3 linked regions of the Oryzias latipes genome follow. The main gene of each other region encodes a partner of the protein of the gene in region 3 in a complex. Links are inferred from orthologs where the notes say so. Each region holds a gene or a part of one and is shown on either strand. Other genes may lie near its edges.

What was found.
Region 1: polr3c (region 3) and polr3f share a complex: the UniProt entries of both Homo sapiens proteins name them as parts of the RNA polymerase III complex. The link is inferred for Oryzias latipes from reciprocal best matches to the Homo sapiens genes POLR3C and POLR3F.
Region 2: polr3c (region 3) and polr3k share a complex: the UniProt entries of both Homo sapiens proteins name them as parts of the RNA polymerase III complex. The link is inferred for Oryzias latipes from reciprocal best matches to the Homo sapiens genes POLR3C and POLR3K.

What each region holds. Positions count from the first base shown.
Region 1 is NC_019859.2:411,372-422,532, forward strand, and holds polr3f (DNA-directed RNA polymerase III subunit RPC6), read right to left. Parts: upstream 6,067-11,161; 5' UTR 5,970-6,066; coding exon 5,908-5,969; intron 5,036-5,907; coding exon 4,918-5,035; intron 4,843-4,917; coding exon 4,775-4,842; intron 4,711-4,774; coding exon 4,643-4,710; intron 4,576-4,642; coding exon 4,463-4,575; intron 4,387-4,462; coding exon 4,243-4,386; intron 3,709-4,242; coding exon 3,601-3,708; intron 3,532-3,600; coding exon 3,340-3,531; intron 3,262-3,339; coding exon 3,184-3,261; 3' UTR 3,057-3,183; downstream 1-3,056. UniProt on the Homo sapiens protein: DNA-dependent RNA polymerase catalyzes the transcription of DNA into RNA using the four ribonucleoside triphosphates as substrates.
Region 2 is NC_019866.2:8,134,311-8,144,315, reverse strand, and holds polr3k (DNA-directed RNA polymerase III subunit RPC10), read right to left. Parts: upstream 4,283-10,005; 5' UTR 4,177-4,282; coding exon 4,066-4,176; intron 3,971-4,065; coding exon 3,883-3,970; intron 3,347-3,882; coding exon 3,219-3,346; 3' UTR 3,107-3,218; downstream 1-3,106. Other genes in the region: cdip1 (cell death-inducing p53-target protein 1), read left to right, coding at 377-653, 1,678-1,789; snrnp25 (U11/U12 small nuclear ribonucleoprotein 25 kDa protein), read left to right, coding at 4,651-4,863, 5,483-5,573, 6,226-6,331, 6,409-6,483, 6,579-6,636; lipopolysaccharide-induced tumor necrosis factor-alpha factor homolog, read left to right, coding at 9,560-9,701, 9,789-9,923, 9,995-10,005. UniProt on the Homo sapiens protein: Core component of RNA polymerase III (Pol III) which synthesizes small non-coding RNAs using the four ribonucleoside triphosphates as substrates. Can mediate Pol I proofreading of the nascent RNA transcript.
Region 3 is NC_019874.2:18,836,750-18,847,984, forward strand, and holds polr3c (DNA-directed RNA polymerase III subunit RPC3), read left to right. Parts: upstream 1-4,810; 5' UTR 4,811-4,929; intron 4,930-5,806; coding exon 5,807-5,953; intron 5,954-6,280; coding exon 6,281-6,545; intron 6,546-6,701; coding exon 6,702-6,991; intron 6,992-7,095; coding exon 7,096-7,200; intron 7,201-7,632; coding exon 7,633-7,806; intron 7,807-7,894; coding exon 7,895-7,946; intron 7,947-8,046; coding exon 8,047-8,107; intron 8,108-8,193; coding exon 8,194-8,344; intron 8,345-8,647; coding exon 8,648-8,749; intron 8,750-8,833; coding exon 8,834-8,883; intron 8,884-8,971; coding exon 8,972-9,121; intron 9,122-9,206; coding exon 9,207-9,291; 3' UTR 9,292-9,463; downstream 9,464-11,235. Other genes in the region: E3 ubiquitin-protein ligase RNF115, read right to left, coding at 1,590-1,873, 2,014-2,068, 2,237-2,295, 4,640-4,717; itga10 (integrin alpha-10), read right to left, coding at 10,106-10,159, 10,250-10,363, 10,757-10,852, 10,936-11,043, 11,119-11,226. UniProt on the Homo sapiens protein: DNA-dependent RNA polymerase catalyzes the transcription of DNA into RNA using the four ribonucleoside triphosphates as substrates.

The sequences.
Region 1 (11,161 bases), on a different chromosome or scaffold from region 3:
CCTCTTCCTCCGTTCTTCATCACCTCCTCTTCCTCCGTTCTTCATCACCTCCTCTTCCTCCGTTCTTCATCACCTCCTCATCCTCCGTTCTTCCTCACCTCCTCTTCCTCCGTTCTTCATCACCTCCTCTTCCTCCGTTCTTCATCACCTCTTCTTCCTCCGTTCTTCCTCACCTCCTCTTCCTCCGTTCTTCCTCACCTCCTCTTCCTCCGTTCTTCATCACTTCCTCTTCCTCAGTTCTTCCTCACCTCCTCTTCCTCCGTTCTTCATCACCTCCTCTTCCTCCGTTCTTCATCACCTCCTCTTCCTCCGTACTTCATCACCTCCTCTTCCTCCGTTCTTCATCACCTCCTCTTCCTCCGTTCTTCATCACCTCCTCTTCCTCCGTTCTTCCTCACCTCCTCTTCCTCCGTTCTTCATCACCTCCTCTTCCTCCGTTCTTCATCACCTCCTCTTCCTCCGTTCTTCATCACCTCCTCTTCCTCCGTTCTTCCTCACCTCCTCTTCCTCCATTCTTCATCACTTCCTCTTCCTCAGTTCTTCCTCCGTTCTTCATCACCTCTTCTTCCTCCGTTCTTCATCACCTCCTCTTCCTCCGTTCTTCATCACCTCCTCTTCCTCCGTTCTTCCTCACCTCCTCTTCCTCCGTTCTTCATCACTTCCTCTTCCTCAGTTCTTCCTCCGTTCTTCATCACCTCCTCTTCCTCCGTTCTTCATCACCTCCTCTTCCTCCGTTCTTCATCACCTCCTCTTCCTCCGTTCTTCCTCACCTCCTCTTCCTCCGTACTTCATCACCTCCTCTTCCTCCGTTCTTCATCACCTCCTCTTCCTCCGTTCTTCATCACCTCCTCTTCCTCCGTTCTTCCTCACCTCCTCTTCCTCCGTTCTTCATCACTTCCTCTTCCTCAGTTCTTCCTCCGTTCTTCATCACCTCTTCTTCCTCCGTTCTTCATCACCTCCTCTTCCTCCGTTCTTCATCACCTCCTCTTCCTCCGTTCTTCCTCACCTCCTCTTCCTCCGTTCTTCATCACTTCCTCTTCCTCAGTTCTTCCTCCGTTCTTCATCACCTCTTCTTCCTCCGTTCTTCATCACCTCCTCTTCCTCCGTTCTTCATCAGTTCTTCTTCCTCCTACTAGAACAGTATTCATGTTCTGATCCAGAATTCTGAAACTATCTGATCTTTTCATCTTTAAGCGACTTCAACAGAACATTAAAGGTTGACATCTGCACCAAAACCAGAACCAGAACCCAGGTTACACCTGTCAGAACCGAATCTAAGATCTAAACTGAGGCCCTAAGAGGTTCTGCTCTGGTTCCGACCCAAACTAAACTCGTAGTAATGATATTCTCCTCTGGATCAGCTGGATGTAAACGGACCGGAAACAGCTGACCCGTTTATATTCCTGACCAGGTTCTCCAGAACCACAAATCTGCTGGCCCAGTTCAGTTCTGCAGGAGGCTCAGCGGTCCTGAAGTTAGCCCAATGACCAGATGACGTCAGATAACAGGAAGTTGGGGGGGGGGGGGGCAGTAGTAAACAAAACGCCTTCGGGACCTGGTTTGGGTCAAACCAGTGCCTATGTGCGCGCGGACGAACTCGGAACCAGGACTGCAGCTGCCTGAACAACAAACGCGAGCGTGTCTGACCGGAACCGGCGGCCGTCCTGCCCGCGGCCACGCCTGTCCCGCGCGCTTTTGTCCTCCATCCTACCGGACAAACGACTGCTGCCGCGGCGCGCGCGTCTCCGCGGAGGCCGAACCGAATCCCGGCGCACCGACCGAGTCCACAGATCGAAGTTGCTGGGGATGGGGGGGTCCGGCACCGCCCGCCTCCCCATCTCCCCACCCCACCTTGGAGCCCACTCATCAACCGCGAGGATCCTGCGGCTGCTTACCAGGATAAGGTCCGAACCGGACACCGAACTCCAGCGGGTCTGCAGGATCCAGGAGTGGCGGGGGAGTGGGGGCTGCAGCTGCTGCGACGGCTGCTGCAGGGGATGATGGGAAGGATCTGCACTGCCCCGCCCCCTCCCCCCGCCCCTGTCAGTGCGCGGTCCTGCCGGACCCCCAGAGTCACAGCAGTCTGACCGAACCGGTTCGGGTGAAGGGCTCAGACCGAACCCTCCGATCTTCATGCGCGGTAACCGTTACTGTGTTATTCCGGACGGTTCTGGATTGAAGGGGGACTTTAGGTCCGTTCTCAGCGCCCATCAGAACTTTGGAAAGAATCGGTTCTGAGTCGGGACCGTCCTCATGTTCTGATCACAGGTTTGATTCCCATAAGGGTTCAGTTCGGTTGGCAGGTGTAAGCTCACCTGGACTCCGGTCCAGATCTGGAGGAAGCGAACACTGACGTCACTGATGGTGGTACCCGTCCCACTGGACCCTGAGAAGTTCTGAGTTCAGTTGGGTCCAGTTCTTGTGGTTCTGTTCAGCGACTTCATGTCAAGTTCTGGTTGATTCGAACCTTTTCTATATTTCCGGTTTTGATCCGTTTTCTGTTTTTAGTCTAAAGGTTCTGATGGGGGGGGGGGGGGGTCATTAATGGGTCACATGACCTGCTGACGGTCAGCAGAGAGTCCATTAGGGGGGGGGGGGCAGACTAACCTGATGGTCAGCGATGTTCCTCATCGATCTGTGAGGCGGGTCGGGCCGCTCCAGGAAACCGGATCCATCTCAGAACCGCAGTCCCTATACGCAGAATCCAAATGCTAAATTCCTCCTGGGAGGCGGCATGGTGGAGCAGTGGTCAGCGCTCTGGTTCAAATCCTGCATTCTTTCCCTTATTGTCATTTTCTGTTCCAAGTTTTATTGATTCTGTTTTCTACGCTTCAATAATAATAAACTGGTTCTCTCTGGTATCGTTCAGGGGGCCGGGTCTAATGGGGGGGCGGGCCATCGTTTGGGGACCCTTGGTTTTAAGGATCTTTTCCATTTCCTGTTTATAACGAGCATGGATGACGTTACACAGCTTGTGGGCGGGGCCTTTGGCCGCTCTTGATGGGAAATCTGAAAAAAGATCTTTCTTCAAAATCACTTCAGTCAGAATTCATGAGTCGCTTTTCACACAACAGTAAAACTTTATTAACTTAAATCAGACGTAACCAAAGGAAAGGGGCGGGGTTCCATGGAGGAAAGGGGCGTGGCTCCATGGAGGAAAGGGGCGGGGTTCCATGGGCGGAGTCAGAACTCCAGCCACTCTGTCATGTAGATGCAGGTGGATGGCGAGATCTCCCCCCCTTCGTGACAGTCGTCAAACACCTGCAGAGAGATTGGGGGGGGGGGGGGGGTGAGTGCCGCAGCCGGAGCGGCAGCAGGGGGCGTCGGAGCGCGGCTTACCGGGCACAGGCCGCAGGGCGTCTTCACCAGGCCCGCCGGCGGCAGCACGGCGTTCACGCCGCGGTACAGCTTCATCTGTCCGTCCACGCTGCCCACCGTCCCCTCCTTGGCGGCGATCACGGTCATCTCCACCTTCCCGTCGTAGATCAGCGTGTTCAGGATGGTCTCGATGTCGTCCATGGACAGGTCCACCTGCACACGGGACACCTGTGAGAACAGCTGCAGCTGTTGGGAGGGGCTGTGAGGTCACGGCGGGGCCACCTTGCTGATGCCCAACTCGCTGATGTACTTCCAGACTTCGTGAGACGTGGCGAAGGAGCTGTTCCTCTGAACCATGGGGCTCTGCTGGCCGCCCCGCGCCGCCTCCGCCTGCACACAGGGGTGAGTGGGGGTGAGGGGTGGGCCCCTCAGCCTGGTGCTACGTTCACACACGTGATGCGCGTTGAAGACCACAGAACCTTTGCTCGCCTACGGCGTTCATTCTGGACTGTGGCTACCCGGCGCCGTCTCCTGCGGTTGGACGACTCGGTGGGAAACGTCCAAATCTGGTGAGTCTTTTGTTCACAGCTCGATTCTGATCCATCATAGACTTGGCGTCGACACAAACCGCAGTTATTACTTTGTCCTTTCTGATCAAGTTTCAGTCGTTGGTACTTCTGCTTTGACGCCATCATACGTCGCAACCAACTCAGAGTCCCTGATTGGTCAAAGTTCAACTGGTTTCACGTTCAATGGCGGCGCTTTTTGTAGAGTTTGGAGGCGGAAGCGTAGACGCGTTCCCGTAGACTTTGGACTCAAAGCGGTCCCTTGAACGCGTTTCCCGGTGTAAACGTAGCTCTACAGCTGACCTCTGACCTTTGTGACCCATTGGTTTGGTGTTCCGTACATTTGGGTTCTCCATACCTTGCTCTGCAGGAACTTGAAGCACTGCTGGTTCAGAACCTCCACGAACTCGGACTCAAAGTCCTGGTCGCTGTACCAGGCCCCTCCGGTGACGGAGCGGTCCGGCTGCACGTTGTACAGCATGTAGACCTTCTTCTTGGACGCCTGCGTGGCAGACGAGCAGAGTTCAGGACTGCCGGCGGCCACAAGCACGTCTGGACCGGCTCGGTTCTGAACTCACGGCCACAGATTTGACGGCTTTGATGAGCTTCTTGCTCTCCAGGTTCTTCAGGATCTTGTTGATCTCGGTCAGAGGGAGGTTGCTCTTGAAGCGGATGTCTCTGCTCCAGATTCCTGCGAACAGAACATCTGGGAGGTTCTGACCCGCGGTACCTTCTGGAAGGAGGCAGACAGAGCTCACCTTTGTTTCCGGCATCCTCGATGATCTGGTAAACCAGCTTCTCCTGGTTGTCCGAGCCCTTCATCTTACTGAAACAGAGGATTGGGGTTCACGGTGGACAGAACCAGAACCTGCAGATGGAACGCTGCTCACCTGGCTGTCTGAGAATCTTTTAATCTGTACAGAAGACCAGAACTGTTCCTGAGCAAGTCCAGCTGGCCCTGGAACAAACACCAGGTTACGTTAGAACCCCTCTGCGCTGAAGAATGGATTGGGTTGTTCAGAACCGGACTAACCAGGGACAGCAGCTTGTTGATGGCCAGGGCCCTCTGCTGCGGCTCCAGGTGAGGCATGTCGTTCTGGATCACCTGGTCTGTGATTCCCTGAGGGAACTGCTGACACAGCTCTCTGATCCTGGAGACACACAGGCGTTCAGAGCTGAAGTTCCTGGATCAGAACCACAAGGTCCAGTCGCTCCAAAGATCAGACATCCCATAATAAACCCTGTGTCAGCTTGGGTCTCATCTCCAGTTGGAACAAAAAGGAACATCTTCAGATGGACCTCTCCAAGACGGAGGTTCTAGTGTTTCTGGTCCGTTCAGAACGTCACGTTGGATCTTCAGAAATGGTCCAAAGACCGCCTGAACTCTAGAATCCGTCTGACCCATCCGCGTGTTCTCTGAACAACATCCAGAACATCCAACAGCTGCAGCGATAGTCCTCGGACCTGGACCTTCAAACCAGGACTCGGATCTAAAACCTTCATACCGGGACTCGGTTCTAAAGTCTGCAGAACTGAACTCGGTTCTAAAGTCTTCAGACCTGGACTCGGATCTAAAACCTTCATACCGGGACTCAGTTCTGAAGTCTTCAGACCTGGATGGACTCGGTTCCTTTAGTCTTTAGACCTGAACTCACGGGACTCGAGTCCGAGTCCAGTTATGAAGACATTAGACCCGAGTGACTCGAGTCTAATGTCTTCAGACCTGCACTCGGTTCTGAAGTCTTCGGAGGTTTACTCAGATCTAAAACCTTCAGAACTGGACTCGGTTCTAAAACCACCTGAGCGTGAGCTGAGTCGGTCTCCCGATTCGAACCTCTGGAACCAGACAAAGTGGTTTCGGTCTTAGAAGCCTGCTGAGGTTCGGTTTAGAGTAGCCTCCGGAACCAGAACCGTTTCTGAACTTAAGACACGCGCGCATGAAACAAGCCAAGGAGCTGCTCGTAGATGAAATGCACGCGCTTCGGTCATGGACCGGCACGCGGCAGAATCGTGAGGTCCGAACCTGGTCTCCACCTCTGCAGGTTCCGCCAGGTTCGTCTCTTTCTTTACCCGAACCTCCGCCATCTCCCCGGTCCGCTGCTGCCGGTGACGCCGCTTCTTCTTCTGGGGGAACCACGGAGACCGGAGCGTTACCGCCCCCCAGCGGCGGGAGAGGCTCGGTCCTGTGTGACGTCATCAGAGCACGTGATGTCCGTTCACGTTTTTTTTTGTTTTTTTTTAATTTTGTTTATTTGAACTTTAAACATACACATAATAACAACATACAAAAAAGAGAGAAAAAGAAAATAAGTAAATAAATAAAACAAAATATATAGAATTATAGTTTACAACACTAGGGATTGTCATACAGCATGTGATCTTCAATGAAAACACACAGTTTTATTGCATTTTTGTTTTTCATCAATGTCAGAGATTTAAAATATAAACTGATTTCTTTAAGAAATGTATTAAATAATGGTTTCGTTTTTACAAATCTGCACTTGTGAATGAAAAATTTCCCAGATATTAATAAGGTATTGAATGTCAAATCAAATAGATTATCACCAGAAACTACTCCAAATAATATAATGTGCTTTTGTAAGTGAATAGAAATAGGAAAGGGAAACTTTGAAGAGCACCAAAAAAAGAAATCCTCCCAAAAACTGTAAACATACATACATTCAAAAAACAAATGATCAAGTGTTTCAATATTTATATCACAAAAAGAACAGTTATTCTCTGGAAAACCTAAACGTATGTGTAACAGTTCTTTGCATGGATAGACTGCATTCATTATTTTAAAATGGATTTCTTTGTATTTTGGGAAAATTGGATATTTAATGAACTGAGACCTCAACTTGCTTATTTCCTCTCTTGTGTAAAGCTGTGACATAGAATGATTTATGTCTAATGTTGGAAACAGGACGGCTCTAACAAATAAAGATCGTATAAATGAGTTTGGAAGTTTTGAATTAACCGGTCGACCATCAAACAACAGAGAGGGAAGCTGAACTTGATCATCATGAACCAGACTGGAGGACATTTGGACCAAAGTCTGAGGCTTTGATCACATTATTATATTATTTTCTATCATTTAATTTAAATTTACTGGAAAAAGTTTCAAATGAGATAATGTTTCCATTGTCATTCATAATATGTATTAATGACCAAATACTGTCATCAATCCAATGTTTGTAAAATATTGATTTGTTCCTACATAAAATATCCCAACAGTTCCATATGGAGTATTGTGTGAACTACAGTTATGTTTGTAGAGGAGTTTCCATACAGTAACAGCTGCTGATGATGAGTAGAAAGTTTAATAGGAAGTTTTCTGTAATCAAAATCACATTTTAGAAGCAACTCAATACCCCCTAGATGAGAAAAGATGTTTGAGGGAATATGAAACCAAATATTTCTCCCATTTTGCAGAAAAGACTTAAGCCAATTTATTTGAATCATACCATCCAAACTTTCAAAGTCTGAGGCTTTAAGTCCACCTTCACTGTAATCCTGAATTATTGTTCTTTTTTTATGGAATTAATTTTGTTTTTCCAGATGAAGTTGAAATTGTTCGGGTTTATTGCTTTCCTATGCTGGATAAATGAATCTGGATCAACATTCTAATTTAGTGAGAAACACTCTGAATAGAAATGTCTCGCTGTGACCAGATGTTTACATTAACTTACATTTTTCTAAAGTTTTCCATAAGTTCATTTCCTCCATAGTTTTACTGTCTTTGGTGATCTGAACTAAATATATTTCACAGCAGTCCTAACAGGAATGTTATGAAGGACTGACTGATCAGAATGGAGAACTGGCAACAATTCACATTTGCTGAGATTCAGTTTGAAACCAGATTCTTTAGAGAAGAAATCCAGGTTCTGAATGATGTCAGGTGTTTGATGACTGTCCTTCATGAATGTGGGCGTGTCGTCTGCCAGCTGAGTGATGGCTAGCTGTTCTCCCAGAACATTGAGTTTACAGAAACCAGAGTTATTTAGAAGTATTGATAACATTTCTGTTGCTGTTATAAAAAGTAATGGTGAGATTCTATCTATTCTAACAAATTCCTTTGTTAATTAAAAACCTGGGAAAAATGCCGTTTGGTAAAATAACGACACTGTTTGTATCATTATAGATTGTTTGAACAAAACTTATAAAATTAGGTCCAAATCCAAATAATTCTAAAGTCTGAAACATAAATTTGTGTTCAAGACGTCTAAAAATAAAATGAAGCCATCATCTTCAATGAACTGATTATAGTCAATCAGATCCAGAACTAACCGGATATTATTGTGAATTGATCGTCTTTAAAAACCCTGATTGTGTGTCTGAGATGATCTGATTCAGTCCTGTTTTTAATCCAGATGCAGAAATGTTGGTTATGATTTTCTAATCACTGTAGAGGAGGGATGTTGGTCTGAAATGATCCATCAGTCTGGCGTCTTTTCCAGCTTTAGGAATCGGGTGACGGCGCCCGGCTTCATGGCGGTTGGAAGGATCATTTCCTTTATGACCAACAGAAACTGCTCTTTCAAGTGTTTCCAGAAATGTCTGTCAAAGTTCACAGTCAGCCCATCAGATCCTGGAGATTTAACTACAGCTAAACCTCTCATGGCTTTTTCTGCTTCTTCCATAGTGATTTCTGCTTCAAAGTTTTCATCCACTTTAGGAGCCAAATCCTTGATGTGATTAAAGAAGCGATCAGCATCCTGACATGAATAAGAGGAAGAGAACAGCCTACTGTAAAACTGGAACATTTCTCTCTTCATTTCCTCCATATTTGTACTTTTCCTGCCATTAATTACTAATTTGTTAACAGCATTTTTCTCTTGTCGCCTTTTTTCCAGATGTCCGTTCACGTTGCCAGAGATGAAGAAACAACCAAAGCGAAAGACGACAACAGAACGAAGGAATAAACTCTCATTTAAAAAAAGGTTTAGTAAAAAGAAAAACATCAAAAAGACGTTTTGAGGGAAGTAATAAAGGGAACCTTTGAAGGTATTTTCATTCTGAATTTTGATGAGAATTCAATAAACCGTTTCTAAGGGGAGCAAATATTTACAACAATATTCTGGATTATTATTCTGGTTTGAGGAGAAAAAACAAGTTTAACCTTTTAATCCATATTTTCACATTTTAATTCATGCATTTAGTATAGTTAAATGTACAAACTAAATATTTAGTGAAGTAAATGCATGGTTTAAAGTTAAATATTGTTTTTACAATTATATATATTTAATTTACAGACAAAACGTTTACTTTACAAATGAACATCTGAACTAAACATTTAAGGTTTATCACTAAATATTTATATTTTCTAAAACACATTTAAATCCAAATTAAACATTTAGCAAATGAACTTGCCTATAATATGAAGTGGACTATCAAAATAAAAGCTGTGATTTCCTCTGGATGAAAGACATCCAACCTGCTGGATGAAAGACGTCCAACATGCTGGATGAAAGACGTCCAACCTGCTGGATGAGAGACGTCCAACATGCTGGATGAAAGACATCCAACCTGCTGGATAAAAGACGTCCAACCTGCTGGATGAGAGACGTCCAACCTGCTGGATGAGAGACGTCCAACCTGCTGGATGAAAGACGTCCAACCTGCTGGATAAAAGACGTCCAACATGCTGGATGAAAGACATCCAACATGCTGGATGAAAGACATCCAACCTGCTGGATGAAAGACATCCAACCTGCTGGATGAAAGACGTCCAACCTGCTGGATAAAAGACGTCCAACCTGCTGGATGAGAGACGTCCAACCTGCTGGATGAGAGACGTCCAACCTGCTGGATGAGAGACGTCCAACCTGCTGGATGAGAGACGTCCAACCTGCTGGATGAGAGACGTCCAACCTGCTGGATGAAAGACGTCCAACCTGCTGGATAAAAGACGTCCAACATGCTGGATGAAAGACATCCAACATGCTGGATGAAAGACGTCCAACATGCTGGATGAAAGACGTCCAACCTGCTAGATGAGAGACGTCCAACCTGCTGGATGAGAGACGTCCAACCTGCTGGATGAAAGACGTCCAACCTGCTGGATAAAAGACGTCCAACCTGCTGGATGAAAGACATCCAACATGCTGCATGAAAGACGTCCAACATGCTGGATGAAAGACGTCCAACCTGCTGGATAAAAGACGTCCAACATGCTGGATGAAAGACATCCAACATGCTGGATGAAAGACGTCCAACCTGCTGGATGAAAGACATCCAACATGCTGGATGAAAGACGTCCAACATGCTGGATGAAAGACGTCCAACCTGCTAGATGAGAGACGTCCAACCTGCTGGATGAGAGACGTCCAACCTGCTGGATGAAAGACGTCCAACTTGCTGGATAAAAGACGTCCAACCTGCTGGATGAGAGACGTCCAACCTGCTGGATGAGAGACGTCCAACCTGCTGGATGAGAGACGTCCAACCTGCTGGATGAGAGACGTCCAACCTGCTGGATGAGAGACGTCCAACCTGCTGGATGAAAGACGTCCAACCTGCTGGATAAAAGACGTCCAACATGCTGGATGAAAGACATCCAACATGCTGGATGAAAGACGTCCAACCTGCTGGATGAAAGACATCCAACATGCTGGATGAAAGACGTCCAACATGCTGGATGAAAGACGTCCAACCTGCTAGATGAGAGACGTCCAACCTGCTGGATGAGAGACGTCCAACCTGCTGGATGAAAGACGTCCAACCTGCTGGATAAAAGACGTCCAACCTGCTGGATGAAAGACATCCAACATGCTGCATGAAAGACGTCCAACCTGCTGGATGAAAGACGTCCAACCTGCTGGATGAAAGACATCCAACCTGCTGGATGAAAAACGTCCAACCTGCTAGATGAAAGACATCCAACCTGCTGGATGAAAGACGTCCAACCTGCTGGATGAAAGACATCCAACCTGCTGCATGAAAGACGTCCAACCTGCTGGATGAGAGACGTCCAACCTGCTGGATAAAAGACGTCCAACCTGCTGGATGAGAGACGTCCAACCTGCTGGATGAGAGACGTCCAACCTGCTGGATGAGAGACGTCCAACCTGCTGGATGAGAGACGTCCAACCTGCTGGATGAGAGACGTCCAACCTGCTGGATGAAAGACGTCCAACCTGCTGGATAAAAGACGTCCAACATGCTGGATGAAAGACATCCAACATGCTGGATGAAAGACGTCCAACCTGCTGGATGAAAGACATCCAACATGCTGGATGAAAGACGTCCAACATGCTGGATGAAAGACGTCCAACCTG
Region 2 (10,005 bases), on a different chromosome or scaffold from region 3:
GGTTTTAAGTTAAAACATATGAGGAAGCCTCATTCAGTCATTATGGAACTGTAGAAAAGCCACCCAGAGATCCACAGAGACTGTTTATGTTTTTAAAGGAAGGCTCAAGAACTACCTTTTGATTCTGGCTTTGAGTTAAAATTTAGAAAAATTCTTAATTGATGTTATTTGATATTCTTATCGTCTGTTTTTACTCATTTGATTCAATCTTTTTTATTCACTTTTACTGATTTTATATCTGTTCATTGTGCTCCATCCTTGTAGTCAAGTTTATTGCAGGACTTAAATCAAAGTTGTGTTTTTGTGTGGTCTCTATAAAGTTGTTCCGTTGACACAGTTTCAGTTTTTATTACACCTCTGGATTCATTCTTTACAGGTGGCCCCTACCCACTGCCTCCCGGGCACTTCGCTAGCCCAATACCAGGTCAGATGGGTCCAGGCCCCGGCCACTTTGTGCACATGGGAGGACAAACAACAACAGTCCTGGGTCCACCAGGTGCAGCCACCACCGTGACGGTACTGCAGGGGGAAATGTTCCAGACCTCGCCGGTGCAGACTGTGTGTCCACACTGCCAACAAGCAATCGTCACCCGCATTTCCCACGACGTTGGCCTCATGAACACACTCTTCTGCCTATTCTGCTTCTTTGTAGGGTGAGTGTACTGTGGAGCTTGTAAACTGCACTTGTTTGGAACGAGTAATCGTTGTAAACGGCAGATACAAATTGGTCAAAAAGGTGACGAAACGGAACTTTTCCTCTGATGAGGAAAACCAAAGGAGCATCAAAGTTTAAACAGCTTTATCATTAATTCAAGTGCTAATTATTTTTATTCAGTTGAAAGCGTCACATTTAAGGCCTATTCACAATGATAAAGTAGTGTTAAATACAAATTATAGTGTAAATATTCTGGTTTTGTTCTTGATTTTATTTACATATAGCACATGTAGTGCCATGTAATACATGTAGTATTTTATGAGACAATTTTTGGATCAAATTAAAGGATTATTGAATGATAAAGGAAACTTCTAAGCTTGATTATTAGTAAAAAAAAAAAAAGTATGTGAACCAGACAGTTCATCAATATAAAGGAAATGAACATAGATTGCAATTAAAATCCATGTTAGTAAAAAAAAAAGAATTTAAAGAATTCTGTATACATTGTATGATTACAAGTAAAATTTAACATCAAAATGTTTTTTAAATACATTTCAAGTTAGAAATGTCCATATGTAAGGTTTTTGTAAATTGTGGAGCCTTGGCTTGCAATAAGGCCAGGGAAGTAAAGTTCAAGAAGTGGATAAAAATAAATCAGATTTTTTTTAAAGATGTTTTGTCTTACATTTTTATTGTTGCAGTCAAAATCTGAAAGCAGGAAGTCGGTGTCTCTTTAAACCACGTTTTAATGAATGTGTCTCATGGCTCTTAGCTACCTAAAGTGTGTCATTTAGCCTTTTAAAAGTATATTTTGCATTAATTCTTTGTCCTAGACATTTGAACAGATTTTTGAATATAGAAAATGTCATCTTATTTTAGTTTAAATTCACATTCTTGTTGAGGGACTTTGTTGTTTACTTGGAAGCTTAATGTGCTCAGAGTTCATTTTCTGTTCCTGCCAGCCCCTGGCGTCCACAGGTCTGAGTCTAAATATGCATAACCGTCCCGTTCCGCATTCGCAGGTGTGACCTGGGCTGCTGCCTGATTCCCTGCCTGATTGATGACCTGAAGGACGTGACGCACACCTGTCCTTACTGTAAGGGCTACATCTACACATACAAGCGTATATGCTAACCACCAACAGCTGGATGCCACAGAGCCATGTACATGCAAACAGAAACAAACTTGCAGCTCCCCTGGCTGATATTAACAGGCCGACTTTTTTTTTTTTTTTCGCATAGTGTTGTGAAACCCTCTTGTATTGTAATCAGTTTTCTCATTAGCTAATTTGCTGTATATATTTCTTCATATTTTAAATTATTAACATGAAGTTGAATTGTACAGATCCCTGTTACTGCTAAGGATGCATGTGAATAGTAGGACTTTAAAAGCTTGGCAGCCTGGTGTAGAGGAAAGCTGTCCTCATATGTGAAGTTGTCTAATTTTTCGTTTAATCCGTTCAAGCTCAGACGTGTTCTTCCGGATTATGAATATTTGTGCGTAATTTTGTTTTTGACATTTGTAGTTGTCAAATGTGGGAAAACTGTCAATTTAAACTGACACATCTGCTAGAAACTTGATTTTTCTTTGCTCCAATCAGGAGCTGACTTATTGTTTTACTGTTACTCACCAGTTCCTCGTGTCTGTGATCTGCTTTCATTGTAATGTCAACATTTGCACTTTGTTATGTTTTTAGCCTTTTTATTCCTGAAGAAAGGGTTGTCCTGTTTTAATCAATTCCCTGAAAGAAGTGGAATAATTTCAAGCATAGAGGTAATATATAACTGGAGTTAATCAAAACATATTTGATCAGAGATTTTAGTAGTCTTTGTGTGCCGAGGACATGGTTATGTGGAAACACTACATGCCATCTCTGTGATACTGAGATTGTAGAGATTCCTCACTGATTTGAAAGTAGTAAACCGTATTTAAGCTGGAAAGGGATGCAGCCATCATTGCATTGATCACCTAATCTTGACATTTGTCATCTATGACATAAATAAATGCATGTTAGATGAAGCGATAGCCTTGACTGAGCAGTCTTTTCAGATTAAGCTAAAAAAATATCAAAAATACAGTTTTTATTGGATAAACCACTAACAGTGTAAAAGCACTGTTCCGTCACAGCATGTCCGATTTCATTTTTCACCAACGCTTTGGAGGTGCAGAATTTGTCTGCATGAGCTACACATCCAAATAAGTGATTCTCTTTGGCTGGCTCCTAGATTTGTATTTTTTTTTCTCTTCCTTACCTTAAGGATGATTGAGTTGCTCTAGAAATTGCATTTTGAGCTCAAGGATTGCATAGAAAATAAACGTGTGGGAACCAGTGGTATGCATTGCTCTCAATGTCTGCAACAAGATACAAACATCTAAGACAATTGAATTGACTGATGTACACAGGTATTATTTTATCAATAAAAGCTCTGAAATAAAGAATTTGTCCGTTGATTGATTCTGAAAAGCAAATTTTATTTATAAATAATAATGGGTCCAAAACATTCTTTACATGTGCTTTGATTGCCATTTAAACTAGAAATAATGAGTGAATGAAATAAAATGCTCAATCTCTCCATCTGTTTCCACACTGAGCATTACAGCATTTGTAGAAAGTCGTCATTGGTTCATCGGCTGATCTGGTCTGGATCTGCATGAAGTAGGCTCGAGGATGCTCGCATTTGGGACACGTTTCTGTGAAAAAACACAAGCAAACATGCATATATGTACACACATGTTCAGAATTTTAGTTAGTTCTCGGATTGAACTTCTTTCTGTGGCCCACATTCAGGTTGGTACTCGCCATAGCATCACACAGCAACACTGCCTCTAGCAAAAAGTAGTCCATTTAAGTGTACTACAAGTATACTTAGAGTGAGGCAGTGTACTTGAAGTTCAGTCTATATATAGTAAACATAAAATGTCACAATTTAGTCAGAATAAGTGTTAAGTTAATGTACTCCCTACACGTTACATGGTCAGCAGTATATGTGCAATACTTGCATCCAAGTACACTTAATAAAATAAACTTCAAGTGTACTTGCAGCTAAGGGTGACTATTAACACCCTTTAAACACGCAAATGGACTGTTTCAAATAAACTTTAATTTATTCCTATGGAGAACATATTTGTCTTAGTAGTCAAATTAGTTTTTCTTGGCCTTTGTTTTATATTATTCTCTAGTCTATCCATGTTTTTTTTTAATTCTTGGTAACAAACTTGTTTGTTACCTGCAGTAGAATCCACGTTCTCCCACGCTGCAGCTCCACCCAGCACATCATCCACCTCTTTCAGCTTGGGATATTTTCGGTAGTTTACCTACAAATATTGAAAAGTTTGAGATTAAAAACCACCCTAAGAAATGTCGTGTTTGTTTCTCGAGTCAGAGTCAGACAGTGATAAAAGGAGCGTACCTTTCTCGTGACGTTGTGCACATAGGGACAAGTGTTACAAGCGAATCTCAAGCATTTCTGTCCTTCTTCTACGATTAAAACGTTTCCACAAGTAGGACAAAAAAGAAGCATATTACCAGATTATTTAAAGAAAAACTATCTCGGGAAAGATAGTAGCGACTACGAAATTCATTAGCAAGGAGAAGCAAAGCGGAAGCAGTTGCTCCGGTTTTACAGCTCGGTAGGAAACAAAAAAAAAAAAAACGTTTGTTAAAAATGAAATTGTTATTGTTAAAGAATGTATATAAATGTATAAATATATGTATAACATTATAAATAATATAATTATTTTAAAACCCCACCATCCGCCGCATGAAAAAAAGTTCTTACTTTTGATAAGCGGAACTATTTATCATGTTTTGATGATACCACCGGTATAAGGTCTGCGACACACAGCATTAAAATTCACACCAGTCTTGGGATACATTTTTGTAAACAGTATCCTATTATTATTATTTTAAGAATCTTTTGTACTTAATTGAACGCGTCAAAAAAGAGAAAGCGGTTTCATTTTTACTGAATGTATTTATTTTTAACCAATAATAGATGATGGAGCAGGAAACCGACGAAGGAGAGAATCGTTTGCAGGACAGTCACAGTCACAGTGAGGTGAAAGAGGAGAAGCTGGCTGATGAGACAGCTCCAGATGCCGAGGAGGAAGATGAGGAGTCTCTTCCACATTCAGAGATCCTTGATATCTTCGAAGAGGGACTTGCTCGACTTGTGCAGGACCCTTTACTGTGTGATCTGCCGATCCAGGTCATAGAAAAACACCACACTCCGCACACCAGGCAGATGTTTAAAGAAAATTTTCATAAATTGTAAATTTAACACTAAAGTTGAAACGCGTCCTTCTTCCGGTTTGTCTGACGGCATATTTGCATAGCAGAAAATAGCTGCATATATATTCTTGAAAAGCCAAATCGAATCCAATTTCAAAACAATCTTATAGCTCTAATTTATGTTTTCTCTCCTTTTTCTTCTTGAAACTGTTTATACGATTTAAGAATTATATACGAATAGCAATGAAATAAATGTTCTAATCTAGAATTAAGTACCAAACATGCATAATAAAAATAACAAAAACACAGGTTATAATCCATAACATTAGTATTGTCAGTATTGCTCTTGTAACATTGGACTATTATACAATAATCACATTTGTTTTTTTTTAATCTCATTTATTATTAAGCCCAGAAAGAAATCTGTTATTTACAACTGGTTTATCTTTCGTATTTGCAAATTTGTCTTTGAGAAAACATGAAATGTCTGCAGTTATAAAGGATTAACCAAGTCCATTTGACTGATTTTTTTTTTTTTTACCCTCTACTGTGTTAGAAGGATGAGAATCCACAATCTGCAATATTTTTGTGTTCAGGTGACTTTGGAAGAAGTAAACTCCCAGATTGCATTGGAGTATGGGCAAGCAATGACTGTGAAGGTTGTTAAGGCAGATGGGGAAATCATGCGTAAGTTCCAAAGTCTCCCAGCTGATTTGTATAATTAGTATGTGTCTATATTGTGTTTGTATGACTATGTCTGTGTTCACTGCCTGACTCATCAGACCTCATAACCTTCTTCTATCGCTCTGGAGTCCAATCTAAATGTTCCCTGACAAACGTTTTTTTTCTGGTTGGCCTTAATGGTCAGTGGGTTTTTTTTTAAGGGTGCACAGCTCTTGTGTCCCGCATTATCCCTCCAGTTTTTCATAATGTGTTGGACAGTTCTTAACCCGTTCGCCCTCTCTGCAGTTTCTTTTGATGTTTAATTTACCGCCAGTGATTTGACCCGTCACCAACAAACTAACATCTCTCCCACAGGATGTGTTTATTGACTTGGTGGTTTAAAAAGAGGGAATCAACTCATTGCATCAGTTGGGATTATAAAACCTGTTACCCGTTGACAGACAATCACCCCATCGCCCAAGCAGACAGTCGCCCATGCAATATTTATCCAATGGGAGGCGCGTCCAAATTTGCATATTTAAATCCAACTTTTAATTTTGGACAGACCATGTATATTTGCATGTGGATTTTTCTTAGCTTTCAAATGATTTTAAATATGTTTTGCACATTTTTTTTACTATACACAGTAGTAACATTTTTTTTTTTTCATATTTAGCTATAGTGGTGGTGCAAAACGCCACAGTTCTTGATCTTAAGAAGGCCATTCGCAGATTCATGGAGCTTAAACAGCAACGAGAAGGTGGAGTGAAACATGTCAGCTGGTAAGAATTTTGGTAAACACGATAACAGAGCAGTTGTGTCCAAATCTTCACTTTGTTTTTCCTCCTTTCTTCTCCAGGAGATATGTTTGGAGGACGTATTATCTGGTATTTCAGGGGGAAAAGCTTGAAGATGACTCAATTAGGCTCAAAGAGTGGGTATCAATGAAGTCTGGTTTATACTGTGTGCAACTGACATAATATTAAAATGTCCTCTGACTCCTGCATTCAAATGCTTATTTGTTTTCAGTTACGGCATTAGAAACAGAGATGAAGTGATGTTTATGAAGAAACTCAGGAAGAAGTGACTCATCCATTTGCCAATTCAGAAGAAAGAAGTTTTCCCAACATAATTAAACTTGTTTTTAAAATAAACCATAACTTTAAGATATATAATACTTGTTTTGAACATCTCTTAAAGTAAAATCTACTTGTAATTACTTGTTTGGAACTGTTTCTTCTTTTAAAAGGCTCAAATGTAAAACCTTTTTTTTTTTTAAATGTTTTGTTTTAAATGGATAGATATGAAATATGTCAATAAATAGCATATCATTTATCTGGGTTTGCATTTTGTCCCTCGAGGATTCAGTGTAAATGTTCACAGTGGGTAATTGTAAACGTAGCTGAACTATTTGAATATTTTGAATAATTAGTTGGAGGAAAGGAACAGTGTTCTGTTGTCCGGCTTCTATCTAATGCTCTATGAGGACGATGAATCAGGTGCAGCAGAACAGGTAAGGCAAAACAAAACTATATTCACGATTATAAGACAGCTTTGTTAACATATTAGTGTGCCAAATGTATCCTAACATGGATTTATTTCAAAACATTTTAAAAATGTAATTTTACCCAACCAAAATAATAGAAACTAAGAAGTTTTTTTTTTTTTTACCAACCATATTCTCTGTGCCCCACATACTTATTAATTTCTTTCAAAATATGTATGTTTTGACCTCTAAGTAATTATCAATCACTTTACTTCTGATTTTTATTCTTAATTTTGGATCACAGATTCTGCAAGTTTTCCACCTAAAGACGAGATAATTTCATCACAGATACACTTCAACTGTTAGAGACAGACTAGAATATAAGAGTGAAGATTTCAGGAAATCACACTGTATGATTTTTAAACATTTTTTAAACATTTGTTTGTATATGAGTATTTGGTCAAAACAAAAGGGTCTAAGGGCAGGAATGCCCAGTTTAGATTAGACTGTTTAGTTTAGTTTAGCATTTTATGACTGATTTTATGTTCTTGTATGAAGCTCTTTGGCACAACTATTGTTGTAATACTGGGCTATATAAATAAAATTTAATAGAAAAGTTACCTTGATCTCAGAGACAGAGGTCAAAGGTCTCCTGTAGGCCTTTATCCGGTTTAGACACAGCATAGCTGCTATTTTGGCCCATTCTTCTGTACAGACCTTCTAAGAGCTGTGATATTTTGAGGGTGTCACTGGGAAACACAAACTTTCAATTCCCTCTCCAGATTATCTATTAGATTGAGATCCGGAAATGGACTAGGTTACTCCAGAACCTTGAAAGGTTTCCTTTTTTTTACGTAGCCACTCCTTTGTTGCCCAGGTGATGTGTCTGGGATCATTGTCGAGTTGAAAATCCAGACACGTTTAATCCCTCTATGATGTCAATAAGGAAACATGTTATTTTTCCCAATATCTCACCATACACGGCCCCATTCATCCTTTTCGTAACCCTTGTGCGATCCTGGGCACTTTAACGTTGGGAGTTGGGTCATCTAGACCCACTAGACAGTGCTCTGAACCTTTTTTCTTCAAGATTTGTGATCTTCTCTGGTGTCCATGGATTACATGAAATCTTTCCACCTTTATCCACCTTTGTCATGGTAGGGAGAACACGTCAATGTAAGGGTGGGGTCATCTAAGATAGCACAAGGGTTAAATATGTGACATTATTACAGGTAACAAGTAGAGAAAAGAAAAGCTTCTCAAAGAAAAATTAACAGGTCTGAAGGAAAGAATTCTTGCTTGTTTGTACCAAAAGTCTCACTTTTTGAACTATTATCCAAATATTTTATTTAAAATCATTTAATGTGATTCCTGGGTTTTATTTTTACACTCTGTCAGAGTTGAAGTGTATCTGTGGTGAACATGAAAAAACTCATGTTTTTGAAAGAAAGAACTTGTGGAATCTGTGACAGACAAATACCTTTTGCCTCACCGGACATTAAAAAATGTCCACCTTTTGTATTTGGGTTTTTTGATACAAAGAACATTCAAAATTGCTCCACAAACAACAATTTAGAATCTGTAAATATCAATAGATGCATTGACAATGGGTAAAAAAAATCCTTTGCTATTAAAGTGTTAAGATTTTCCCTTACAGCATTACTTTATTATAAAATAAATAAAAATACAAAAAAAATATATATGAAAAAGTAAAACAAATGATTAATCACTAATTGAAAATGGTTAAATTGATCGATGTTTAATGATATTACTTCATTTGCTCCAAAAATTCATAAATTGATTCAAAAATCTTTCCTAATGTAACATAATTTTGCACATGTTTTTAACTTTTGATACTTGATGAAATTTTGCTATGAAAATTCCTGAAACAGTGTTGTGTCTATTTTACTGATATAGTATTATGTTTTAATTATATGAATGACTTTTATAAGTAAAATAATCTGCATATATTTTAGATGACTGATCTGCATTTGCCATGTTGATTTCTAAAATAGTTATTTTTACATAATAATTAAGTAATTCATCTTTGTCATGTGCTTTATCGATACCATATGATTTTTAATTCTGTCTGATTAAAAACTAGGAACCGGATATTGATAAATCATGTAATAAAATGGTTATAGTATAATGGAGTATTTTGAGAGTCAAACAGCATTAAAAACTATAATAACGTCTTAAAAATTGGAAAACAAACACAGCGCTCTTGCCTCAGTGTGAAAAGGCCCTGGTTCTGTGCTCTCCATCTTTTCCCACAGTCTAAAAACATGCTTCATAAGTTCAGTGATGTCTCTAAATCAGGCAGGTGTGGTGTGAATGTGAGTGTGTGTGTGGCCTTGCAGCAGGCGGGCGACCTGTTCAGGGTGTACCCCGCTTTGGCCCAACTGTGGCTTCAGCAACCCTGTGACCACAAAACGGATTCAGCAGGTTCAAAAGATGGACAAATGGAAGGAAAACTAACGTCCGTCTGCTTTTCTCTGCCCATCTTTTCCACATAGGTGTCACCATGAATTCCACCAACAGCGAGGCCACTAAAATTTCCATGGAGTTGAAAGATATTTCTTTAAAGATTCAAACACTTCAGGAAAGGAGGAACATTATGTGCATTTTTCAGGAGATAAGGAATCGCACAAACCTTGGCCAAACAGGTGGCTTGAAAGAAACAAATAGCATTTCTTGATGTGATGAAACGTTTTTGTCAAATGTATGACCTCCTCTGCTTTGTGTACTCTCAGAGGAAGCATACGCCAAACTGCAGCAGATCAACATTATTGAAAATGAACTGAAACAACTCAGAGAGAGGCAGGCTGAACTCCAAAAACGATTTAAGAGCACTTCAACTGTCAAATGTGTCAGATTTGACCAGAAGGGTAAGCGGTAAATGTTTGCTTTAATCCTTCATGTTTAAGTCTTGCAAAGACTCCATTTCCTTTTTCTCCAGAGACTGCTGTT
Region 3 (11,235 bases):
TTTTTCCTCAACAGTAATTTAAGATTCATCTACTGTGGTCCTTTGCTGTTATTGCATGTCACCTTTTGTGGTTTCGTTTATTTTTTTACTGCATTTTTGCATGTTATTCATTTTTTACTGTGCATTATGTTCTGCATCCTGATTGGCTGTAGACCCTGTCAATTAATCTCTTCCGTTCCTCATCTCCTGCACAAAATACCTTCAGTTTGCCAAATCTACATGAATCTTCGATCACTATCAGATCTTTGTTGGACTTATTTTTTTTATAAAGGTTTGAGAGTTTAAACAGAAGAGAAAAGTGTGAAAGTGTTCATGACTGTCTGACAAAAGAGTACAAAGTGTATAGTGAGGGGTTTTATAGCCTTAAACATCTGTAATCATCATAAAAACTATAGTTTTCACCTACTGCAGGTTATTAATTTAGCAGATAACTCCTGTAGTAAAGCAGGGACCACTATACTCTCAAACATCTTAAAGATCATCTAAACCAGGGAGCTGCAACTTTCAACACTTAAAGACCCATTCGGGTCGATTTCTTACCCACCACAACCCAGCAGGAACCGCAAAGCCTTATTTTCCCTTTAGAAGATCAATTCAAAAATTGTAGTAGTAGGTTGTGTGATTTCATCAATGTTAAATAAAACTATACAGTTTGTTTTACTATTTGTGGTACATCTCAGCCAGACATTCATAAATGTAACTAAAAGCAGATCAGAGCAAACCAAGTGAGCCTAACCGTTTTTTCGGAGCATGAGTCCCACTTAAAAAACTTGGAGAGAAAAAAGGAAATAGAAAATCTGCTTTATAATCTAGTGCGCCTTAAATATGAATTTTGGTTGTGCTTACTGACACACTATTACATGGTGCTCGAAAGTCTGACAAAATGTTTTAGTACGACTTTGGTAAACAATGAAAGACACACCGCTTGATGGATTGTTAGAACATTATGGGTACCATATTCAGGAGCCTAACAGAGTGATACGCACTGTCCTTCAATTGTTTGTAAATGTGTTGAATCAAGTTTGACTTTAAGACGATTTAGTTTAACATGTAGTTCAAAAAATACGTAACTTCTTAAAATTAAAAAGATTTTATTTTTCTTCAACCAGAAAGCCACAATGGAGAGGTAAAAGAGCCACATGTGGCTCCAGGGCCTCAGGTTGCAGAGCCCTGATCTAAACAGTCCTTTCTGGCATTTCCCGATGAAAAAAAACAACACTGTGGGGCCGGATCTCTTTTTGTTGCTGAGCAAGTAATGATTGATTCAATGATTTCTTAAAAAGTGCAATTTACAATCAAAAGTCTGAACAGGTTGCCTTATCTTGAGAAGCACACGGTCAGTGCTAGCTGATGAGGCTTCTGTCCAAAATAGACCAGCCGCTTATTTATAGTGTGCAGTACCAGACCACTTATGGAACGTAACACAGCATGTCTGGTGAGAGCATAACACGACTGACTTCAGCAGCCACAATCAACTTTAGAGCCCACATCAGAGCCGCTACAGGTGACTGTGGCTCGAAACACGGAGGAAGCAACACAACAATGGATGTTGTGTCAAAAGACTGAAAAGCAAAGTTAAACGAGTTTACCCCTCCACAGCAGGTGAGCGCTCTGGTCTGCTGCTGCCTCTGAACCGGTATCTCCTCTGGCTGTGAAGGCGAGGTGGGCGGCCTGGTCCGAAGTGTTCATTGGATCCTAACAGACCACCCATCTGCCCCCCGAGACCAGCTGGAACCGATCCCCCGATCGGTCCAGCCCCCAGTCCTCCGAAATCACTAAAACTCCCCAAACGACTGCTGGAGAGCCTTGGCTCGGAGTCAGGAGTGTCACTGTCTGTTGTAAACGGCCTCTCCAATAACAGGAGGTGCCACAGCTGTAGAGACGTTAGGATTAACAAACAGTTATGGAAAGGGACATGAAAAAAAAAAAAAAGACAGGGAGACAGAGAGATCAAAAAATGGGGGGAAAACTCAAAAATTAATCATAATTTAATATGATCAGAGTCAAACGTACCTCTGCAAACTGTGTGGCTGTGTCATCTATCCCATTTGCACCGCCGTCTAGAAGACTAATGAAAGCAACACAAACAGGGGAGGTACAACAATCTCAATAAACGCGTACTAAACTGATCAACTAAAAGGTCACGCTGGAAGAAGATTCAATAAACAGATAACTGACAGAGCAACAAACATGTATTCACTTTTAAGGTTCTGTTCCAGAAACAGAGGTCTCTTACCTGGAATCCTCTGTTACTTCCTCTATGAAACCTGAATCACATCTTGGACAGATGTATTCCTGCAAGAAAAAGAACAAGGACAGAGTCACGCTTATTTATAAAGGCTGAGGAAAAAAAGAGACAACTAAACATCGAACTATGGCCACATTTTTCATTTCAATTGGGTTTCAGCACATCAGAAAGAAAAAAAAGTAACATTTAGATGTAAAAACTTGGTTTTACATTTAGTATACATCCTATTGAAGATGCCAAACACAATACAAGTAAAAAAGATTCAAATGACAGTAGATATTTCAACACACCAATGTGTACGATGTTAACATCCTGGTTTAAGGGCTGTTGAAAGTACATTAGAAATACTATAAGCAAACATGTCCATCATTAAGACTTTCCAGTTAAATGTACTTTTAATTGTTTACATCTTAATATGTTGAAAAACAGACATTTTAAAAGCCTGTGCAACTGTTTTCATGAGCCAAACCATTTTTGGGCTTGTGTTTTATTAATGTAAAATACAACACATATCGTGATACTTCAAAGGATAATTGTTAAGAAAAATGTATGATGTTTTTTTTTTTTTGATTGGCTGATTAAAAGCATAAATAATGACTTTCATTTAGTGTTTCAACATATGAATGCAACCAAAGAGGTACGGCTGGTCTGCCAACCACACCTTAGGGGGAGGGCGTTCAAAACCAGCATGACAGCTTGGAGCAAACACAACCAGCAAGCAGCCTTTGCAGCAGGATGGATCATATGTTGTCCTCTCATTTAAAGATAGAGCTTTTCACTCAGGGGAACAGGATTGAGGTCACTTAGCATAAAAACAAAGTTGTAAGCCATTACGGCAACACCTGAAGTACAATACTTGTAGCATTAAAAAGTGGGTCACAACAATAATGTCTTTTTAGATTGTAGTTCACTCGATTTGGAGTGCTAAATATACAAATGAAATTCACAAATGTTCTTAAGGTTGAATTGAAAAAAAAAGTGACTATGAATTACAGAAATTATTTTGGTCAAAGCCTTTGAATTCAGATTTACTCACAAAACTCACACAATTACTTGTAATAAATAAATGTTATGTATTGTTTTGTTGATTTTTATAATTTACTTTATATTTCAGGTTTAAAAAATGTTTGATATTATCTTTGCAGTTGCTTGATCCAACACAGAAAAAGAAAATCACAAAGAGACAAGTGAGTAAATCCAGAATTAGTGACCAATTATCTGAAATTTAAAAATAATGGGGAGGCAATAGTCACAGCTCTGTTTCCAGTTTACTGGTCGATTAAACAAATAGACGTTTGGATGTTTATTTTTACTTTATGGCACAGTAAATCACAGAACCCTCCATCTCTGTATCAGTCTAACAGATTGCTTCTAAGAAGCTAACAGGTTGCACTTTTTAATTTAAACTTTCAGTCAAAATCTAGACACAACATAAAGCAGTGTTTCCTAAAATTCGGGTTATATAACAAAATTCATTTACTCAATACATCAGCCAGTTATAAGCTAAATTTATAAAACATGTAAGAGAACACATTCATGTTAGAAATTCAGATATTTCTGGTATTTATTTTAACCTGTCCAAATTTTTTCTTGTCCAAAATGAAATACTATAATCATTATCATCAACAAAATAACTTATATTTCAATGATTGAAAAATGTGTGTCAATTTTTATTTATTTACCAAGGAACATTTGTTTCAAAAACACAAAACGGAGTCAACAAGAGAAAAAAAACTACAAATAAAAAAACAAACACTTACAGTTAGTTAAATGTTTTTGTAAAAACGTAGGAATGTCCTTTTAAATAAATGGCCTTTTAAAGAATATTTGTAAAATAGTAATAGTAGGCCATTTAAACGCCTCTTCTGCCGACATTGTTACGTTTGACTTTAACACTAAAACTGAAAGTAAACCACAACGTATGACATCTACAGAAAACTTCCCCTGCTTATACTGCCACTGCTGTTAACAGAAACAAAAACTAAATGTGTATATATACTGAAAAGGAAAATCTGAGTGACAGTTTATGAATAAATAAACTCTCAGATTAATTCGGGCTGTTTTGTTCAAAAACATGCATCTATCATTTACCACCAAGCACACAACTTCTACCTTGAAGCACAGAGATTAGCGTAAGTATTTTAAAACAGGCACGAATAACAAGACCTACTATCGTTAGTTTTAAGAGTAGCTTAGTTTCCCCTAAAACGACTAACCGGAGTTTCTTTACTGACTTAACAACAACAAACACTGCTATATGCTAATAGCCTATGGGCTTAGCTGTAGCAAGAAGTAGCCGAAACAAACAGCTACCTGCCGGAAGGCAGACTTGTCAGCCGCGCATAACACTCAACATAAAATGAGCGAATAACCAAAAATAACGCGACTTACCGGGAGTTTGGGATTTACTTCTCCCTTACAACAGTGACAGAAAAACCGATGCGAGGGAACAGCCGCAGCCTCCGCCATCTTCCCGGAGCAGCACAAACACTGACGTCGGTCCTCCACTAGCTGAAGGGAGCTGTCCGCCCCCAGCCCGGCATGCACTGCGGCACTGTTGTCGAATCACAGCAAGCAAAAAACCGGGAGCGGAAGTGTCTGTTTGTTGTCATCGACTAGCCTCATGCGCTAAACTATCTGCACGGAGTCTGCTTTCATTGCGAGATCTGAAATCGAAAAAGGTTTGTGAAAAAAAAAAAATGCCAGGCTTATACCATCAAATATTCAGAGATAATTTAGTAAATTCCCAGCATGCAATTGTAATTTTACTATCCAAAAGCCCAAGGGGGAAAGAACTTGAACAACTGTTGACTTTTCAAATTAGAAGAGATAGTTTACATGCACTGTATGCTATAAGGGAAACTACTTAATGACCGATCTAACTTTTTATTTTTAGATTTTACCTGTTGGAATAAGTGGTGCCTGTTTTAACAAAGTAAAATACTATTATTGTTGTTTGTAGTTCGTAAACTAGATGTATAGAGATAACATAACTAAAAAAAGTGCTGTTTATTGAAAAACTAAACTGAACTAAAATAAAATTGATTTATTGTTTATATTGGTTCATGTTGAACGATCAAATCCGATCCGATTCACTGATCTAAAATCGATCCAGAACATCTTTAGCCAAGAATTCAACCAGTGGGACTCAGAAAATAAATACCTGGATTCTGAACAGTGCAGGGGAAGTTTTCCACATTCCCTGTATTTTTTTGCAACATAATTAAGTGTAAATTAAACATGTTTACAAACAAACAAGTAAAAAAGAATGAATGGACAGTTTTACCTACATTTTGCTGCCATTCGATGTGTTGTCTGTTTTAACGTTATAGTTAGAAAAAAAGCCTACTGTGCCTTAATCCAAATGGTATTTTCCAATATTGATAATAATTGATTTATTTCCTTTTAAAATTAATTCATATTGGTATAGTTTGATTCGATTAACATCTTGCCTCAGATGGATGAATCGATTCATCTTTACAGCCTACTAAAAGCACATGCATTAGTTCTTATTATTAACTTAGTGGTTTTCATTGAACTGTTGGTGTGTTTGTGCAGATGACAGCCCAGGAGGTCCGTCTGTGTGGTCTTCTGCTGCAGGAGCACTTTGGAGAAGTGGTGGAGAAAGTGGGAAGAAATCTGCTCAAAAGTGGAACGCAAAATTTAAGAGCCATTGTTCATGAAACTGGCTTGTCAGTGGATCTGGTAGGTCAACGCAAGACTGAGATTGCATTCGCTGTAGTCAGATGTTCTTTGAAAAATAATCAAAATTATTCATTATTTGAATTATTATTCAAAGCAAACGGTCACATATATTACTATGTCCCTTGCAATATGGCAAAAGTTAGTTCTTTAAAGATATTTGAACAATAAGAGAAACAAAATTATAATGTAATTATTCAGGTAATATATATTCATATTTGAAAACAGTTTTACCTGAAACTGATTGCTTATCAGTTTTTTGTCAATACAATACAGTGATGTCTGGTAATGTTCATGTACTTTAACAGGACTTCTTCTTCTTTCATCAAGGTAAAGAAGTCTCTGTGCGTTCTTGTGCAACATGGAGCCTGTTCGTTTATTCAAGGTCGAAAAGGACCGGGGAGCCCGACGGAATACAAAGCCCACTGCGATCGGGTACTGAGAATTCTGCGCTACCCACGTTACATATACACAGCCAAAACGCTGTACGGCGACACCGGTGAGCTTATCATAGAGGAGCTGCTGCAGAGGGGCCACATGACGATGAGCAACACAGTTAAGACAGTCGCAGACCGTCTAACTCAGAGTATGGACGGTGAGCATCAGAATCAAACAAAAGACTGTCCATAAAAGAGATGATCTGTTTTCTGAAGGTTTTTTTTTCAGTTAAGCTTTGGATTGAGGCCTAAAATATCGCGATCAGTAGATTCATTTTCTAATGAATACTTCCTTTGATGTTTTGTTGATACAGAGGGGTCGAGCATGGATTATGGTGAAGTGTCCGCCACCTTTTCCAAACTGGTAGAGACTCATTTTCTCCAGCGCTGTCCCCCAGCAGCAGGAGCAGGAACGACAGGGAGCAGTCAGACTGCCAATTCGACTTCTGCAGCTCCTGCCAGCAGCACTGCACCCACACCGGAAAGCTTCCCCGACTGCTACAGGGTTCCTCAAGTGACACTCATAGGCCGGAGCAAACGCTCGCTCGCCAGCGAGGAAGGAGAGGACCAAAGAAATGCGAAAAAAGCGAAAATGGACCCAGAGGTCAGAGAGACGTTTGTTAAAGCAAGATGTTCACTGCATATGCTAAGACTTCTATGGTTGTGACTTCTGTTTGTCTTCTCATAACTTGGATCTTTGGTGCTCAGACTCATGGGGATGAGGGGATTTACTGGCAGGTGAACTTTGAACGGTTCCACCAGCATTTCCGGGATCAGACTATCATCAGTGCTGTCGCCAACAAACTAGATCAGGTGGGAATTCCACAAAACATTTCAAACTAACCATTTTTTTTATTCATTAAAAGAAAAACAGGTTTTGAAAAATAATTGCCTAGAAAAAAAAACCCAAATACATTTCCTCAGTGTATAATTATTTGATGGTTAAAAGTAAAAATGAATAGTATTTGAAAACCCTCTTTGTATGGCTGAAGGAATTTAGCATAAGCATTTGGTTGTTTGATAAGACTATCTGACTTTGAAGTATTGACCTTAAAATCAAAGAAAATTCAAATTTTAAATGAAATAAAGTGATAGTTTTTGGAAGTACTCCTAATAATTCCTCTTTTTTCTTGGATTGTTCTCTGTGCTTTAAATACTACAGCTTTTTACATTTATTTCATTATTAATTATTTATTATTATTATTTATTATTAACTAGCTGTCTTCTCACATCTTTCCTACCCAGACCAGCAGTGAAATAGTGAGAACCATGCTGAGGATGAGTGAGGTGACAACCTCTTCCACTGCCCCGTGCACAAAACCCCTTTCAGCCAATGAGATCTTCAGGTCCCTCCCAGCTACTTACAACATCCCCCGCCATATATTGGACCAGTACCTCACTCTGCTGGTGGATGACCCTGTAGGTCCTCCTCATCTCAAATATCTCTCTGATTTTTGCTTGGCTCCCCACAAAATGCTCAAAAAGTTTCCCACTTTTCCTTCCTAAGATGGAGTTTGTGGGGAAGGCTGGGGAAAGTGGAGGAGGAATGTATATTGTCAGTATCCTTTCTGCTCACTTGAAGGTTCAAACCATCCCACAGGTGTGCGTGTCATTCGCTACTAAACCCAAAACAAAAGCTTTCCCTAACTTTTCTGTCAGATCTGAACCAAGCATTGGCTAACCTGGCACGGGCCACCCTGGAGTCCATCGTACAAGAGAGGTACACCAGTGTGTGTGTTTGCTCTCCACACATACGGTTGCTATTGGGCTCCCATTGTTAATAAGATACCTTTTATTCATCCTCAGATTTGGCTCCAGATCAGCGCGCATCTTCCGCCTGTTGCTACGGAAACGTCATCTGGAGCAGAAGCAAGTGGAGGATTTCGCCATGATTCCAGCAAAAGAGGCTAAAGACATGTTGTACACTCTGCTCTCACAGAACCTGGTCCAGCTTCAGGTACGTGGATGTAAAATGGGTTTAAAGAAGGAACTGGATGAAAAGTTTACGATTTGTTTTAATCATACACCTGGATCTATCCTAAGACTAATTTTTTAACCTGGTGGTGAATTTTAAACATCTGAGCTGAAGTTATTTAATCCAAAACAGCATTGTTCTGTTTACCAATGTATATAGATTTATTTAAAAATACATGTGTTGAGTTCTCAAAGTTTGAACCAAGCAGCCATAGTTCTAGTTTTTTCTTTTTTTAGTACAATTTTTATTATCTGTAATTATCTCTTTTTTAAATGTATCCTCCAGGAAATCCCCAAAACACCAGACTTTGCTCCCTCTCGGACCTTCTATCTTTATACCGTCAACCAGCTGCCTACTGCGAGATTGCTGCTACAGAACTGTTACAAGGTGAGTCTGAAAACAAACTGGGAGCTTTAGAAAGCTGGATGGAGAGCCACAGGTGTATTATTTCATGCCTGCTTTCCTCTCCAGACAGTGGCCAACCTTATGGAGCGGCGGCTGTTTGAGGCCAAAGAAAGCAAGTGGGTCTTTGAATCATATTTTTCCTTGAAGTTTTACAAGAATGCAGGTACTGCTATGCGCCAAATGTGAATTATGTTTGTTTTTTAGGCGCCTTCTGGAGAAATCGCAACGAATCGAAGCTATTTTGGCGTCTCTGCAGGCCAGCGGGGCCGAACCCGAACAGCTCACTGAAGTGGAAGAAATGATCACCGCTCCTGAAAAGCAACAACTGGATAGCTTAAGGCTTCATGTTAACAAGTAAGAGAAGACGACAGAAACAAAAAATGTATATTTGGCAAAGTTTTTTAAACAGGTTTTAAATTTTCCTTTTTTTTCTTTCCAGATTAGATTCAGCAGAGAATCAAGTGGATGAAACAATCTTTCTTCTGGAGTCCTACATAAGTTCCTCTACAAAACCTACAAGTTAAGTCAGATTTGGAAGAATGACTGACACCCCACATTTTACTTAAAAATTATTTGATTTTGTTTTTTTGTCACAACAGTTTTAGAGTTTACAGCAAATATGTTTCGGTTAGAAGTGGATTTAAATCTGATTGTTTTTATTCCTTGCAAATAATAAACACAACAGGAGGAACCCTTTCCAAATGTTTTTTATTTCCCATCATGAAACAAAAAGCTGTAGAACCGAGTGAACATTTGAAATATAAAACCATGAACAAGTCTGCAAGTTAAATAAAAGAACTGTGGCTTAATACATTTTCAAATTCCTTAAAATTAAACTAAGGTTATTTACAAACATTGGGGTAAAAAGTATTTATTAGTCACTGATTCTGCAAGTTAATGAGAAGCCTGTAATGTTTATCATAGATATGCTTCAACTGTGGGAGACGGAAAGTAAAAAAGAATCCAGAATTGTTTTTTTTTTTATAGAATGTACTTGAATAATGGTGCGTTTAATGTCAAATCCTACAGTGTGGTTTCCTGGATTCTTGTTCTGTTTCTTAAAGTTGAAATGAACTTACGATGAACATTACTGATCTCTCTCATCATTTTAAGTGGGACAACTTGCAGAATATTCAAATACTTTTTTTGCCCGGCTGTAAGTGCCTCCATACTCTGGAAATAGTGGGAAGTGCATTTCTGTTAGACCCTTGCGATGCTCTTTTTTAGTCTTTGGAAACTCTGTTGCATCCATTTCCTGAATGTCTGTGCCTGGTGGGAGGCTCAAAGAAAAATCTACTTCCCTTGTAGTCCACAAGGCAAATCGCTGTTCATACAGATTCAGTCTTCAGGATTTTCCTCCTCTCCTCTGTGTTTGCGTGTAAAGAATCCGAGCTGACAATAAGGAAAAGAGCGTGAATGAATACGCTATCCTTTATATATTACACATATGTCTTGAACATCAAAGAGAGTTTGATGTGATACCTTCCACAGTATGAAGATAATAAGAGCCAACAGCAGCAGACCGCCTATGATGCTGCCGATCAGAATCCAGAGCGAGATGGGAATAGCTCTTCCCTTCAGCACCTCCAGTACAGTCTAAAGAGAAGTGTGGGAGACGCATGGGTATGTTAGGTACACTCTAACGTAGGGCTGGTGGTCTCTGCCAAAATATTTTAACCCTTGCGACATCTTTGCATATCCACTAATTGTTGAAATGTAGGTGAATATTGATTACGTTTTCAAATTTCCATCCAAAATAACCGCACAAGCTAACTAACTAATAAACAAAAATTGAATTTTCATTCTTAAAATAAGTAATTCTTGAATAAAAACCAACTGAAAACAGTTTTTATGCCTGAAAAAATACTCAAAATGACTTAAAAAGAAATTTGATTCATACATTTGATTCATTTATGTTGCATATTCTGCATATTGTTAGTAAATATGGATTTGATTAACTAATATTTTTAAACTCAGCCCGTCTCTTACCTCCCCCCAGACTGTTCCTTTTCCCAGAGTGATGAGGTTAGTCTCCTGAGCTGTGAGGCCATAGGCGCCTATTATCCTCATTGACTTATATTTTGCCTGAATACATAAAGAAAAGGGTCATGGTCAAAGCTGGAGCGACTGGAGAATAACTGAGTCACCTTATTTGTCATGTTACTCACTTTCCTGAAAAAATCCTCATGAACTCTGCGGCTCACTCGAATGATGACGTCCTCCCTGAGCTGCCGCACCTCACACACAATCTCCGTGCACCATGACCTGCTGCAGTTCTATGTATGGAAAATGGAGATTTCCCATCAGCTGCTGTTCAAGGGATTGAGAAGCGCCTGTTTTCTGGGCCTCACCAGGATTTCATCCTGCATCATGTCTTCAGGATGAAGTGGCCGCACTTCTCTCTGCCTGCTCTTCAGCTGCGCCACATCACTCATGACAGTACAGTTCACCCCTGAGGCCTGGGTGGG